Linked DNA regions of Rhinolophus ferrumequinum. The main gene of each other region encodes a partner of the protein of the gene in region 2 in a complex. Links are inferred from orthologs where the notes say so. Each region holds a gene or a part of one and is shown on either strand. Other genes may lie near its edges.

Region 1 (7,115 bases), on a different chromosome or scaffold from region 2:
TCTTCCGGATTTGGGAGATTATGGGCACACTTGAGATTAGCGTTACCTGAGTCAGAAGATGAGAACCTTAGGTTACTAGAGGTCAGGAGAACCCGGCACTGGATGAGATGACCAGAAGGCACCACATGTTCATTCTAAACAGTGTGGAACTGCAGGCAAAAGTATCAGAAGAATCATCACCTGTTCTACCTGTCAGAGACAACTACTGTAGATATTTTGGTTTCTTTCCTTCCAGTAGTTTTTCTATGCATCATGTACATACGTATACATATATTAATAAAAGTAAGATCATAATGTATATATATGTTGCATTTTATCACTTAGTATTAAGTTGAGAGCATTTTTCCATCTTTTCAGTACTGGTTTTTAACGGCTTTATTATCTATCTAGCTATCTGTTATCTAGCTATATATCTTTATTTTCAAAGTGTAATGTACAGTAATATACAGCTTGGTAAATTTCTTCATGTGCATCCACCCATAAGACCGCTACCCCCATCGGAGTTATCGATTCCTTTGGTCTCTCCCAGTCCATAACCTTCCCATTTTCATGAATTGACCCCCCCGTTTATTCATGTACTCCCCTATTACTGGATACTTCAGTTGCTTCCACTCTTTTGCTCTTATAAATGATGCTGTGACCTCCCTTGTACATACGTACACATTTATCTGCATCTGATTGGTGGTTCCTTTGGAAAAATTTCTAGAAGTTGTGAGACATCGATCGGGTCAGAGGGTATGAGTGTATTGGAACACTCTCAGTTGAAGTGCTGCCTTCTTGTCAAACATTTTTCCTGGTCCACCTATCCAGAAGGGCTTTCCCCACCTTAGGGCTCCTGCTGCACTTCGCTCGGACAGTACAATTAAAATATTGGATTAATGGGACCCCGACTTGATTCCAGTGCTTGGCTTCAAAACTAGATCCTCAGGAGCAGGCTTTATTCATGTTTATATCCCACTTGAAAGCACGATAAAAATTGTCCCGTCTATCTTTGAAAGTCTTCCTAAAAGCAGTGACATTTCAGGGGCTTTTCAAAACTGTTGAAATTGGTTTCACTTCTAAAGTAAACAGGACTTGCTGCAAAGCCAAGCAGAACCCTGAGACCTCTCTCTAGGTACTTCTGAGATCAGTGATATGGCTGAATGAGTTAATAGGAGAAAGTGGTTTTTAAAAATTTCCACCAGACTGTTAAACTCAGAGCAAACATATGGGTCAAAGTGAGGTGGTGGATTTGCTCATGTTTGTTTTTCTTATCAATCACTGGAACGCTTACATACATCATTGGGATAAGTCCAGTAATTTCCTCTCCTTTAAATTGCCCACCTCCCAGGGGTTTGTGACGCAAGGGTACAGCGGCTTTTCCCTTTAGCAGTGAGTCTGCCTAGGGCGTTGCTGCTGTTGCTCCTTGCTGTCACATGGTGTCGCTGTTGAACACTTGTCTTGTGCAGTCGTGGGAGCCCTCCAGCTCTTGACTTCCTTCTGGGATGCCCTTACTAGTCTGCCAACGGAGGAGGACTCCACTCTCTCACTGCCAAGACTGCCTGGGCATGCTGTGCACTCAGGTCCTGAAACTACATTCCCTCCCACTTCCATGGCAAGAGCAAGCCATGGACTCAGAGCCACTTCCTCGCCCTAACCTTTGGGGGCTGCCTCACTAAGAGATGAGGCCGCTTTCCCAAGGACATTTCAAGCACAAAAGATCTTGTCCTCTCAGATTGGTGGAACCAATGGTCTCTGTATCTAAGTTAAGGGACATATCATGGGGAAGAACGATTACAGCACGAGGATTTACCTTGAGCCCCATCTTTGCATAACATTTCAAGTATCTTGAAAGCAGAAAGTCAGCTAGTGAAATTCAGTATCTACCATGGACGTAAGAGAAGCTGCTAACTTTCAAAACTGTTCCGTGGCGATCTTTCTTTACCATGACAAGCATACTTTGTATATACAGTAAGTCCTCAATACTGTCAATAAGTTCTGTACTTTAAGTAAAATGACATATGAGACCAGTTTTAACATAGGCTAATTGATAAAAAACGAGTTAAGTTCCTATGGCATCTCACCATTATAACGAAAACGTCGTTTTGTTACATTATTCGAGGACATGCTGTATGCTAAATATGGAATGAAACTCTGTGTCCATGTGCATCCTCATGTTGTAGAAAGTATTTAATAAAATACTTTTTCCATTATTTATTGAGCCCCCACTGTGTGCCAGGTCTGTGGAACTGAACCGCATAAGTATGTTTGGGTATGTGTATTCAACTGCTGTGTATCTGATGAGACATTCACTTACTTCACAAATATTTAATAAGCACTTTTCTATCTACTGGGGACACGGAGTTGAGTCGGTGCCCCTGTGGAGCTCATAGTCATCTTAATGTTTCTTCTTAGTTTAAAAAAAGCAGGTAAGTTGAGTGCTTTCCAGAGTTTTCTTAAGTAACCTGACCCATGCAAAACAAATGGCTTATTCCCTGATTTAAAAAAATAAGACATTGTACATCTAGTTAGAAATTTAAGAGAGAGGCAGGACCGGATTATACTTGGGGGAGAAGCTTGTTTATTTTGCTTATCTGAAGTGAGAAAGAATATCTCTAAGTGGGCAGATTTCCAACTTGGAGCATGTACACAAAGCACCTCATGCTAAAGAGAGTAACTGAACGGAGTATTTTGCCTGTGTTTATTTTCTTCTACAAGTGTGATGTGAAACTTTTCACATGTGCAGAAGCAAGCAGCCACAACCACGGAAACAGCCGTTTTTGCAAATAAAAATGCTTCGCAGAAGCATGACAAATGCAAGACTAACAGGTGTAGGACAGATCCAAGGCGCACATGCGGTTCTCATCAGCTGCCTCTCTTCTGTTTTAAATCTAGGTCTTCCTGTAACAAGGAAAAGTTATTTCTCCTGAGGCTGCCACTAATAATCCACTCAGCCTGCCTTTCCACCCCTTGTCTCATAACAGTATTTCTAATAGAGCTTCCAGAGAGAGAAGACAGCAATGAAAGAAGGCAGTAAGGGGGTGGGGCAGAGGGTGGGGGGTACCCTTAGAATTGACATTAGAAGTTCTGGGTTTAACCTGTAACTCTGGGTGACTTTGGGCTGCAGTTTTCTCCTTTGAGAAATGTTTGGTTCAGAGAATGAGGGTTTCAATTTTCCAGCCTCTCCACGCCAAGCAAGGTAGAAGGGTCTTTTAAACCAGTGGATGTCAATAGGGGGCGATTCTGCCTGCCAGGGGACATCAGACAATGACTGGAGACATTTTTGGTTGTCGCCACTGGAGGAGAAGGTGCTACTGGCATTTAGTGGGTAGACGCCAGGGATGCTACTCAACATCCTACCAGGACGGCCCTACAACAGTGATCCGGCCCCAAATGTCACCGGGGCACAGGTCTGCAACCATGGGGTCGGCTCACGGGGCTGGTTTGGGGGCATTCCCAGCTGGGATGGCGGCTCTTCGGAGAGGTGCTTCTCCGTCTCATGTTTTCGGGACCCGGGCCAGCGAGGCGCTGCAGACCCCCGCCCTCTGGAGTGAACCAGAGCTGGAACGTCCCTTGACATCCCTCGGTCAGACCCAGACGCGCGCAGCATCACAACGTGGACATCCATCTCCCTCGCCCCCAGGAACGCAGATCGAGGGGGTGGGAAGGATCCCCCCCAGGCTTGGAAAACTTGGCAGCTTCTCCCGCCCGCGACCCCTATCACCTCTGTCAGTGCAAGGAAGGCTTTTCTTCCCGAAGAGGGGTGCTGCCGCCGCCCTCCCCGCCCTGCACAGCTGAGGCGGCACCCGCAGCGCCGAGTTCAAGGACTCCGCGCGCATCTCGCGTTTGGGTCGGGAACCTCAGCATCCCCAGCCCGGGTGGGGGCGGGGCTCCAGGCGGCGACCGTTGCCCCGCCCAACCGTTTCCCAACGGCTCCCCGGGCCGAGCAGGGGACTGGGACTGCGCGGTGGGCGAGTGCGCCTGTGCGCGCATGCGTAAAAGGCGAGGGGTGTGACCCAGGCGTGGCCCCGCCCAAGCCCGGCGTCTCCGCCCGCCCCATCTCCCAACCTCCTCAGCGTGGCGCCGACGCTGCGTGCGGCGCGGGTTACCCAGAGTGCTCCGCGCAGGAGCAGCTCACTGGAGTTTGGTTCTCGAGGCGGCGGCAGCAGCGGCGGCGGCTCCGGCGGCTCCTCCTCCTGCGGTGGCGGCGGCGCCCCGGGCCCGAGCCCCGGCTCCGGCTCCCCTCTCCGCCACCCCGCGCGCCCCCTCCTCCCCCGGCGCCGCGGGGAACATGAAGCTCCGTTCCCGGAGGCCGGCGAGTGAGTGACCCCCGTCCCCCGCCTCAGCCCGCCCGCCCGCTGGCCCGGCCGCTCCCCCCCGCCTCGCCCAGGCAATGACAGCGGCTCCGGCGTCTCCGCAGCAGATCAGGGACCGGCTGCTGCAGGCCATCGACCCCCAGAGCAACGTAAGTACCCGCCGCGCGGGCCAGGACCGAGGCCTCGTGGGCCCGGGACCCTCCTCCTCCCCAGTGCCCCTCACCCTCGGGGTTCCCGGGTACCCGCCCGAGGCCCACCTTCCCCCGAGGGCCGCTGCCATCCCGGCCTCTCGTCCCCCGGGCCTGGGCCCGGGGCAGGTCGGGCAGCCCGGCGGCGCTCGGTACGTGAGGCCGAGGCTTACGTGCGGCCTGGGTGGAGGATACAGACGGGAGCTGAGGCCAGAGCTGTTCCTTCCCTCCTGCTTGAGTTCTACGACCCTTGTTGCTCCTGTCGGAGCTTACCTGCCTCCCCTTCTCCGGAGACCAGAGACCCCCCGGGAAGCCCTCTCGACTTGGGGGAGGGGAGGGAGAAAGACTGTGGAGCAACTGGTGGCTGGAGTATGACTCCGGGAGCCCGTGCCTCCAGTATCTCGGCCTTCTGGGTGATCAGGGAAGTCCTCCTTCCTTCTTCTCCCTGCTGGAAGCACCTTGGCTTCGGAGGGAAACCCCCGGCCTGCTTTGCCCCTAGCCGGGTGCCCAGGGCGCGTGGAGAGGTCTCTTCGGTTCTGCGAATGGACATGTCTTTGCTGGATCCCTCTTCGAGTCGCTGCCAACGGAAGATGATCTTGGGGAGGAGGGTGGGATCCTTCATGCTGCTTTTCTGGGCCTAACTGCCCATTGCGTCTCTGACCAAGCCAGAGCCCCACTTTTGGGTAGGGAATTAAAGGTGATTGTTTTCTCTCCGGTTCACCCAAGAACCCTATTTCGGCTGTCCCTTCCCCCTATCTGGAGGTTCTAGCCAGGTGGTTTTTGACCTAGATGACAGGGTTAACCCCAGGGTGTCGCTTTGTCAGATGACCCTCCATGTTTGCAGAGGGATCTCCCCTGTCCCCCCTCCGTGTGTGTAGGGGAAGCCTCATTGTGTTCTCATATATTCTCCAAGGGGTTGTTGATGATAGGGGTCATTTTCCCCTGTGGCAGGAGCAGGTTAAGCAGGAGGAGGATGACATCCAGGTATGAAGTGAGCCCTGCATTTGCTGGGAGACCAGGAAGTGGCCACTGAAATCACTTTAACATACTGCAGATGGAAGAAAAAATTGTCTTGGGTAATTTTGGAGGGGTTATGATAATTGTAAGGCTCTGATTTCTCTATCATAAGTAATTCTCTTATTCCTGGTCTTCGGGCCCCATTAAGATTGGCTTGGTGGAAATTGCCTTTAACAAGTGTATACATTTTTGTTAGGACTTTGGGGGTGGAGTAGGCACAAGCTATATAAAACCTCCCAGAATTTTTGCAGTAACTGGTGCCGCTGCAATTCCCAACACTGAAATATTAGAGGATAAAGCAAGTGACATGAAAAATACAGCTTTGGTAACTTTTGCATCTTTTGTCGAGTCAGAGTGCAATTCTTGAATTCCATGTGCTTGCTTGCCTTCTGGAGTATCTGAGAGTGGCTGACCTATTAGCACTGATTCTTAATGCCACCTAGGAGAGCTTTGGGATCAGAAGGCGCTTTGACATCAGAAGGTGCTTTGACAGGTGGTCACGATGTTACAGATTAGGTGGGCAGTGACCTCAGGGATTCTAGTGTTGTGCAAGGCTCTAATCTAGAGGGTTCCTAGAAGTAGGAGGAGGGAACAAATCTCAGCTTCGTGTATCCTGGTGTGTGCAGAAACATTACTCTCATCTGAGCCCATGGCTGTATTACGTAGCATGGAATTCATGTTTCATGTGGCTTACTTTGGGCAACTCTAGCGATAGGTGTGCTAGAGCCCTACTAAAATAAGTTGATAGAATTGGGAAATTGTCTCTTTGAATATGAGCGATGAAGAAAGTGCCTCCTTTAAATGCTGCCATTGTTAGTGTCTGTGAGCATTGTTACTAGTCATTTGACAGGAGTGCGGCTTGGTTCAAACCGTGTATAGAAACTTAGAGATGTGGCAGAATAGTTTGCTGATGGAGAAGGTGCAACCACAGGGCTGCAGTTTCTTACGATTGACCTGGGCCCAGGTGAGAGTGAGGGCGCTCCAACAGGGCATTGCTGCCGCACGGGCGCTCTTCTCTGCTTTGCCCAATTATGAACACTTCTGGATAGTTGGTTGACACATATTTAAGATGCTCATGAAAAAAATGGGGACAGAGTTGAAGAGCCAACACTAAAATTAAACCTCTTCTGAGAGAAAATACAGAGAATTGTGTCATGTAATGCTTACCTTTATGGACATGCAATTATGGTTAACAAACAGCTTTTGCTTGAAAAATTAATGTCAAGCCGCTGACCTAATATCCACAAGTATCTGAAAAGTTAGGGAAGTAACAAAGTAACATTTACTGAGCATCTCCTTGACAAAAGAGTTCTTAAGAGGAAAGTTGTTTTTTTGCTCTAAATTCTAGCCTCTGGAGTATTTGAATTTCTGTAGCAGCAGGTTCTGAGTTAATTTCTGCCAACTCAGTACTGAAGTAAATCCTTTACACTCCTTTTCAGAAAGCAACTAACAGTTTTTCAGAATAATTGAAATCTTACTCTTTCATGGTATGTCAGCCCAGAGTGTTGAAAATCTGAAGTGCAGTGTGCGCATTTGTTCCAGCTTGATCTTGCTTGGTTGTGGATAAAGTTGAGGGCAGTGTCTTCTCCTGCCCAGAAATCAGTCACACCACTTC
Region 2 (7,861 bases):
CTTATCACTTATATTCTTATCCTCAAAGACTCACTGACTCTTACACCAAAATAAACACAAGCTTCAGTAATTTCATGAAGAGCTACAGTTTCTCTTTCTAAAATAACATTTGGGTGCTCACTTCGGCAGCACATATACTAAAATAACATTTGGTCCTAAATCAAAAAAATAAGATGGAAGAAATCTTATTGATTTGCTCATAATAAAATTATTTCTGTATAACTTTTTCGAGTATGCCCCCTAATGTCCTACAAAAGCTAAATAAGTTGGCGCTCTTCTCATATTAATGATAGTCTTCGTTGGAAGGTATCTAAAATAAAAGAATCACTTCCCAAGAATAACAAAATTAACATGTCTTCACATGATAATAAAATAACCACAAATAACAATAACAAAATAACCATATGCTTTGAAAAAACGTGGGAAAGTTACAACACATTTCTAGATACTGCTACAACTGCCAGCATATTCATATTCGTATATACAGGAGAGCAGTGGCAAAACTGACTCCAAGTTTAGTTAAACTGGCTTCAAAAGTATTACAACTTTGTTAGGAACTTTATGCTCCCTGATTCCATTTTTCTTAGGTTAATATAATGTCTTCCTTAGGCCTGTCTATGACAAATTCATGAGGAAGCTAGGTGATGAAAGAATCAAGTTACTGAAGATTGAAAAAGCCTGCCATAATATGGATAATTTAAGTAAAATAAAATAACCACAATGAAATAGACTATGAAGCTGAATTTGTATCTGGCTTCATACCTAAGTGTTCCACCAAAAAATCTTAATAAAGACAATTTTGGAGTAAAGGATACATTGCTATTCATTAGCTAGAAATGGTTAAGTTGCTTTCACCTGATAAGTCATGGTGAATAAGGTCAGCAAAATTAGGGTCTTCACCCCACCAAAATATCCATAATTCTCTTCTTCCAGGTCTTTGATCTCTCCGCCAAACACCAAGTACATCTGCCTTAAGGCAGCGACTAAAACTGCTCAAAATGGGGTCTTCCTCTGTCACCGGAAACAGAATAGGGGCAGAAGTTGGGCCTTGCCATACATATCTTTTCCATTTAATTCCCGTCAAGTCAGCCTGAAGAAAAGAAAGCATGATTTTTTTTTTTATTACTGCAAAGTCAAAAGTACTCACTATTAAAAGTCCCTTATTTCACAAGGATTAAAATTTTTCAAGATATACTTAAAATATTGAAAGCAGGTTGATCAAAAAAATGCTTAATAATTCTGAACAAAAACAGTGAAAAAATTAACAATGACAGATCACTGAATAGCAAGTCAATTAATGGGTGTTCCAAGGAGAAATAAAAGAAACGTAATAAAGTTAAATATAAATATGTACTTTAATACTGCACACTGAGTAAACATTTCCTATCTATCCTAAGTTCTGTTCTAACTGGTCACATTTGTCCTTAATGTCAAACTTGTAACAGAAAATTAATTTTTAAAGACTCATCATCATTCCATGTTTATAGAAGTCTGAACTATAACAAAAAATTCTTGTTACTTCTTCACATATCCCTTTTAGGAAAAGTCAAATAGCTGCTCACAAAGAACTGTCAGATATGTGCTAGTCTATCTTCAAAGAACCTGATCCTAAAAGCACCAAAAATAGACTGAGTTGGAGAAGATAGAAATGTAAAACCTGCTGTCTTATTACATCTGAAGAGATGCTGATTAATGGACACTGGACAAGAAAACATTTTATAGGGGAAAGGACATTAAAGATCTTAACTTAACATCCTGAAAGAAATTCAAGAGGGAATTCAGTAATTCTTTAACTTAAAGGTGCAAAGTATAGGTGCCAGAAATGAAACTGCTGATACATGACTGGCAGTTTACACTTGCCAACTAGTTCTGCTCCGCCCACTCAATTCCCTTATCGTATACTCTTAATATTTCTCAAAGCGCAGGGAAGATGAAAAAAGGAAGTCACTGAAACTTTAAATCATTGCTGAAGCTAAGCTACCGTCCAATTGAGGGCTAAGTATTTGCAACAACTGATACTGTTTTTAAAGTCTTAAACGGTTGGACGCTCCCAGACATGGGCCAACCTACACAATTGTCACCTTCCCCACACTTTTCAATAAAACCTGGAGCAGGCTGCCCAAAACATTCTAAACATGCAAGCAAAAGACAAAAATATTTACTGCAAAACCATAGAACCTTCTCTCTTAGTACGTTCAACTCTCACACAAACATAATGTTTTAATAAAAGCAAGATGGCTAGAAATTGTCAAAATGGCAAACTGTTTTCAAAGTTTAAAGAGAAAACGTATGAAATGGCATCTACTGGTTTTTACAGAGGTCTGTAGTCGCCCAAGGAAGAAACTAACATTCTGTTAGTTCGACTCATACAAAAAATGCAAAACGAAAAGAGATTTTTAGTACCTAAGTTCCGGGGTCCTGTTTATTGGGGGAAACAAATCACCAGAGTGAGGCATAAAAACAGTGGGAGAATGGGCAATAATGTAAAGTGTGAAGGGATACATGGTCAATGAGAAAAGCAACAGTTAAACAGAGGGAAATGTTAGTGTCCTGCCAGATAAGGAGCCCAAGCTGAAAACAAGACCACGGTGGTGAGGGGGAAAAAGTCAGAAACAAGAAAAAAAGCCAACTCTCCTAAAACAGAGCCCAGGACCGCGGGTGAACGAACGCGTCTCCCGAGGCGGGTGCGGAGCTCAGTCGCAGCGCCGGCTCCGGCTGGGCCTAGCCCGGGGACTCCAGCATCTGGATCAGACCTGGACCCCTCCCCCACGGCCCAAGGGCGCACCTCGCGGCCCCCTCCCCCACCGCCCTGCTCGCCGCGGTCCCCGCCCGCGGCCCCGGCACTCACCAGGCAGAAGAGGTTACAGTGACAATCTTCCAGGCTGGCCCCGTTCGGCACGAAGGAGGAACTCATCGTCCCTCACAGCAGCCGCCGCCGGCGCCACAACCCACCATCCGCCATTACCGCCGCCTCCGACCAGAGAGAGAAACACAGACACCGGGGAGGGCGGGGGGGTGCTGGTTGGGGGGACCGTGGAAGAGGAGGCCGCCGGGCCGCCCGCCCTCCCCACCCACCCCCCCGCCGCCGCGAGCAGCCCCCGCCGCCCGGCCGGCACCCAGCCGCCCGGAGCCGAGGGCCGGAGGCGGGCGGTCCGTGCCGCGCTCACCCCGCTGGCCGGACTGCGGCCGCCGCGGAGCCCGCGGACGCTCGTCCCTGTCTGGGGGACAGAGGGGATGTGTGCCCCTTCCACAAGAAAAATAATAAATTACACAATAAATAATTAAAGTCGAGTCCGAGAGGGCAGAGCCCAAGCCCTGGAGGGTTCTCCCGGGCGGGGAGGCGCCCGCAGAGGGGCGGGAAGGGCGAGAACCGGAGAGAAGCCCAGGCCCCCGGCCCGGCAGCGGCGATGTCCTTAAGCCCAGAGTCTCCTCAGTGGCGGAGGTGGTGGTGGTGTCTGCGGGCTCAAACCATTCTCTGGCTGTGTCTTCGTGTAGTCCCTGGGCCAAGCCGGCCTAACGTCTCCTCTCCTACGGCCTCACAGCCCGGACGCCGTAGTCTCCCCCATTTTGTGGGCCCAGCGGGCTGTGTTTTTCCCCCTTTAATCCGAATTCACGGGTTTTCCCTTCGCTTTAATGGCGGCCACAGGGACCAGCTCGCCCTCTCTGCTCGCCCATTGGCCGCCTTGAGGTCACGTGGGCCCGGGCTCCGTGGGGAGGAGGAGAGAGAAGGGAGCGAGGGAGGGCCGGGAAGCTTTCGGCGAAGGCGGTGAGCCCGGGGGACTGGGCAGCCAGGTGGTGGCTACTAAGATAGCGCCATCTGCTGGGTACCCCGGCCAGTGTAGGATGACCCAGGGCCCTGGCCCTGTCTTTCTACTTGCTCGGAATTGACAGTGCAAGAGCTTTACATCACAACTCGGAGAATTACGTGGAAAGCAGTTTGAATTCTTTGGAAGAGAAAGTGTTGAAAAAATTCCAAGGTTTTCTCATGTATTTCACGAGGCCGCGGGGGTGCAGCGCAAACTCCTGGGCATGGGAGTCAGACGATCTGAGATAAGACTCAGCCACTTGAAAGTTGTGATATTAAGAAAGAAACAAACGAAACAATATAGCCTGGTGTTAGAGACACACCGCTTGGGTTCGAACCTTCAAGGAGTCACTTACCGATTTATGTCTCACTTTCCTCATCTGTGAAATGAGGAAAGCATACATACCCCCTACCTCACAGGATTGTTGTGATAATTGAGTTAAGACAAATACAGCATGGTAGCCCAGTACCCGGCACAGATAAGCATTGTTAAGAGTTATCTATTATTGTTGTCATCGTTACCTCATGTGGTTATTGTGAGGACTAAGTGAACCAGCGTTATTTAAAGTGCCCACTAGAGTGTAATCTCCGTGAGAACTGGGACTTTGTTTTGTTTACCGCTCTATCTCTAGTGTCTACAAAAGGTTCCTAGCACACAGTAGGTGCCTTATATTCGTAAATTTGCAAGTGAATGAATGGCAAGAAGTAGAACCAAGTAAGATGTTAGTTTCCGTCCCCATAAAACACTCAGTTCTTGCCTGAATTGCATTTCAATGTAGGAGTTCAAACATTTTTTCCTGAGAGTTTTAGGGAGGAAAGAAAGAAAGAAAAAGCAAGGGAGGGGGTGAGGGGGAGGAGGGAGGAAGGAAGGAAGGAAGGGAGGGAGGAAAGGAGAGAGGGAGGGAGAAAGGGAGGAAGGAGGGAGGGAGAAGTAAAGGTGATTCAAAAGTTAAAAACATCAGTGATTCAGGACTTATCATAATTTTAAATCATAACTGCCTCTATAAAATAAATGGTGGACTCTTCCACGTGACTTCTTCAGCCACAGAATGAAGCGCATTTCTCATCCATCCATTCATTTGTCTACGGTGGTTAAGAGCACAGATCTTGAAGCCAAGTGCCTGTAGAAAAAGTTGTGCTACTTACTACTAGTTGATCTTGGATCAAATTTGACTTTAGATCAAATTAATTACTCTCTCAGTTTTCTCATTGTAAAATGGGCATAATAAAAATACTTTTCTCCTAAAGTGTCTCATGAAAGAAACAGTGTAGGTATAGCTTGCCACAGTGCTTACTAAATGTTAGCCATTAACATACTTTTTAAAATCATTATTGAGCACTTGTGTGCATAACTGAGTGTGTTGCTAGGCCTGGGATACAAATACGAATAAGATAACTGCCTGTCCCTCAAGAGTCCTGAAGAGAGGCAATAAAGGAACTATTTCCCACAGAAAAAGATAAAATACAATGGAGGTAATTGCTTGAATAAGGTATGTATCAACTATGGCACAATAGGAGCGCTGGAGGAGGAGCACCAAAGTCAGAGAAGGCATCTTGAAGTAGGCAGCATTTGAAATCAGATTTAAAGGATAAAATGAATTCTTATAAAGCCCTTTGAAGCAGTTAAATCTTATTAAACCCATTTCAGATCTAAAGGCCACATATCAAAGTCAATTATACAACCAGGACTAATTCAATCCAGGAGCTCAAATCAACTAAGGTCCACATCCTTTCTAACTGAGTGCCAGCACCAGGAGGCAGCAATCCCCAGACCCAATAAGGTAAGAGCCTCTGCTCATCTCTTTTCCTGAGAGAATACTCAGACCTTTGTTCCCACTGCTTTAGTCACTCTTCAGTGTCCTACCCCACCTCTTATTTTATCCAAAACATAGCCATCCTCTTTAGAAGTCTTGCCCTCCCATCACCCAATTTGAGCATCTCCCTCCGGACTCCAGAGGCAGGTACAATCTGCCTGAAACCTACTACGTGCACAGGAACATTTGACTGACCTTTCACGTGAATGTCAATCTTCTCAGAAAAAGCGGGGCGACAGGAGAAAAGAGACAAGAAGGGAGGAAGATCCAGAGGAATAAGTCTGAGAGAGGGTCATGGAAAGGAGCAGAATAGAGAGAGAGGGAGAAAGAGAGAGAGAGGTGAAAAAGCAGGAGAGGTTGAGAGAGAAAATGGAGAAGCAAAGTGGAGGAGAGGGACCAACTGTGAGGGGAATGGAAACATCATGGGGACAAGAGAAGAGAGCAGTATCAGCACATAGAAAAACCACCTTATGTCAGTAACCACCTACATTCTCTTTAAATGATATTTTGTGTGATTTAAAGAGTAATGGAAATAAAAACAGTATATGCACATTGTCAAAAATTCGGAACATACAGAAAAGTGTAAAGATAAAAAATAAAAATGCATATTACCCTCTAAAAATGCCTATAACATCACCATTCATAATTAAACATCTTTTAACATTTTGATATATTTCCTGCCAGCCCTGTGTGTGTGTGCGTGTGTGTGTGTGTGTGTATTTTCTACATGGTTGAAGTTGTATTACATATACATTTTACTATACACTTACTGACCATCTAGTATGTGTCAGATCATGAATGGACAAAGCACAGGATATACAAGGAGCTTATAATCTTGCTAGATATGGCACTGGGATCAAAACGCCAGGCCACGCCTGCCAGCTCTCTAACTTCCATTTACTCCTTTGTAAAATGTGTATGTAACAGCACCTAAATGTTAGAGCTGTAACAATTAAAAGAGATAATTCAAGTAAAGTAGAAGAGCCAATTGGGAATGTTAAAGTGAATCTTAGGTGTTGCCTGGTCAATAATCACCTATTGTCTTCGATTCTTTGAAATATGGATTTGTTCACTGATCTACATTTAAAATTGTTCTTTAACTCTTTCAGCCTTTTAAGGGCTCCATTCTGAATGGGATAGTGGAGGCATCTAGCTTCCAAAAAGGGTGGCAGAGTTACATCATCTGAGACAGAGAAAGTCCAGGAACGGGCAATGTCTGATCTTAGGTCTAATGCTTCCCACCTGATCCTGAAAAATCCCAGGGTCTAGAGTAGCACAGTCCAGTAGAAATATAATGAGAGCAAAACAAGTAAGTAAAGATTTTTCAGTAGCTACATTTTAAAAACATAAAAAGAAATAGGCTAAAATTAAATTTAACTATATATTTATCTCAATGTAACAGAAACATTATCATCTCATCTGTAGTCAATATAAAAAATTCAGACAGTTTGCTTTTCTTTTTTTAACCAAACCTTTAAAATTTGTGTGTATTTTCACTTATAGAACATTTCAGTTCAGACTAGCTACATTTCAAGTAACCACGAGCCACATGTGGCCAGTGGCAACTGTATTGGCTAATACAAGTCTAGAGGCAAAAGCTGAAAGCTAAGGACCAATTAAGCTGTGGAGTGAGGGGTCTTGAGCCTGGGGACAATATTGATTTTCTTAAGGTCATGTTAATGGTTTGATGTTCTACTTAATAAAAAATAAATAAAAAAGGCTGAGGAGTTACAAACCATTTTATTTAGTGAATGCACAGACACTACTTTGTTGAATATAGAAGTAAACAAAGTAAATTAGCAAGTTGAGAAAGCTAAGAAAACATTTCAGTCTAAGCATCAAACATCCTGGATTGACTTGTAAGTTGCCCTGACTTGCCATTTTTCTTGGTAGTATAGAAACTATTCTCAACCTCAAGTTTATTTCTCGATAAATATTTTATTTTAATATTAAATCTGAAGTCAATTCCCCCCAATTTCCTCACTTTGAAATTTGGTTTGTAAACCTTAAGCAAATCAGATCTCCCCTCTCCCTAATTTTATTCTACTTGAGCTGGTCATTTGACTCCTCTGGATCTGTTTTCTCAAGCATAATGAAAATATTGGCTTAAGTAATTGCTATGATTTAATACCTAATATGTAACACTAAATATGTCAGACATTGTGCTAAGTATCTTGCATTAATTATCATCCTTGTCACAAGCTTCTGAGGTATGTACTATATTATCCCAATTTTCTAGATT

What was found. Proteins that work in one complex are often made in the same cells at the same time.
Region 1: MED13 (region 2) and MED26 share a complex: the UniProt entries of both Homo sapiens proteins name them as parts of the mediator complex. The link is inferred for Rhinolophus ferrumequinum from reciprocal best matches to the Homo sapiens genes MED13 and MED26.

The regions. Positions count from the first base shown.
Region 1 is NC_046301.1:50,104,639-50,111,753, reverse strand, and holds the start of MED26 (mediator of RNA polymerase II transcription subunit 26), read left to right. Parts: upstream 1-4,115; 5' UTR 4,116-4,372; coding exon 4,373-4,444; intron 4,445-7,115. UniProt on the Homo sapiens protein: Component of the Mediator complex, a coactivator involved in the regulated transcription of nearly all RNA polymerase II-dependent genes.
Region 2 is NC_046304.1:26,085,428-26,093,288, forward strand, and holds the start of MED13 (mediator of RNA polymerase II transcription subunit 13), read right to left. Parts: upstream 3,040-7,861; 5' UTR 2,915-3,039; coding exon 2,849-2,914; intron 1,091-2,848; coding exon 856-1,090; intron 1-855. UniProt on the Homo sapiens protein: Component of the Mediator complex, a coactivator involved in the regulated transcription of nearly all RNA polymerase II-dependent genes.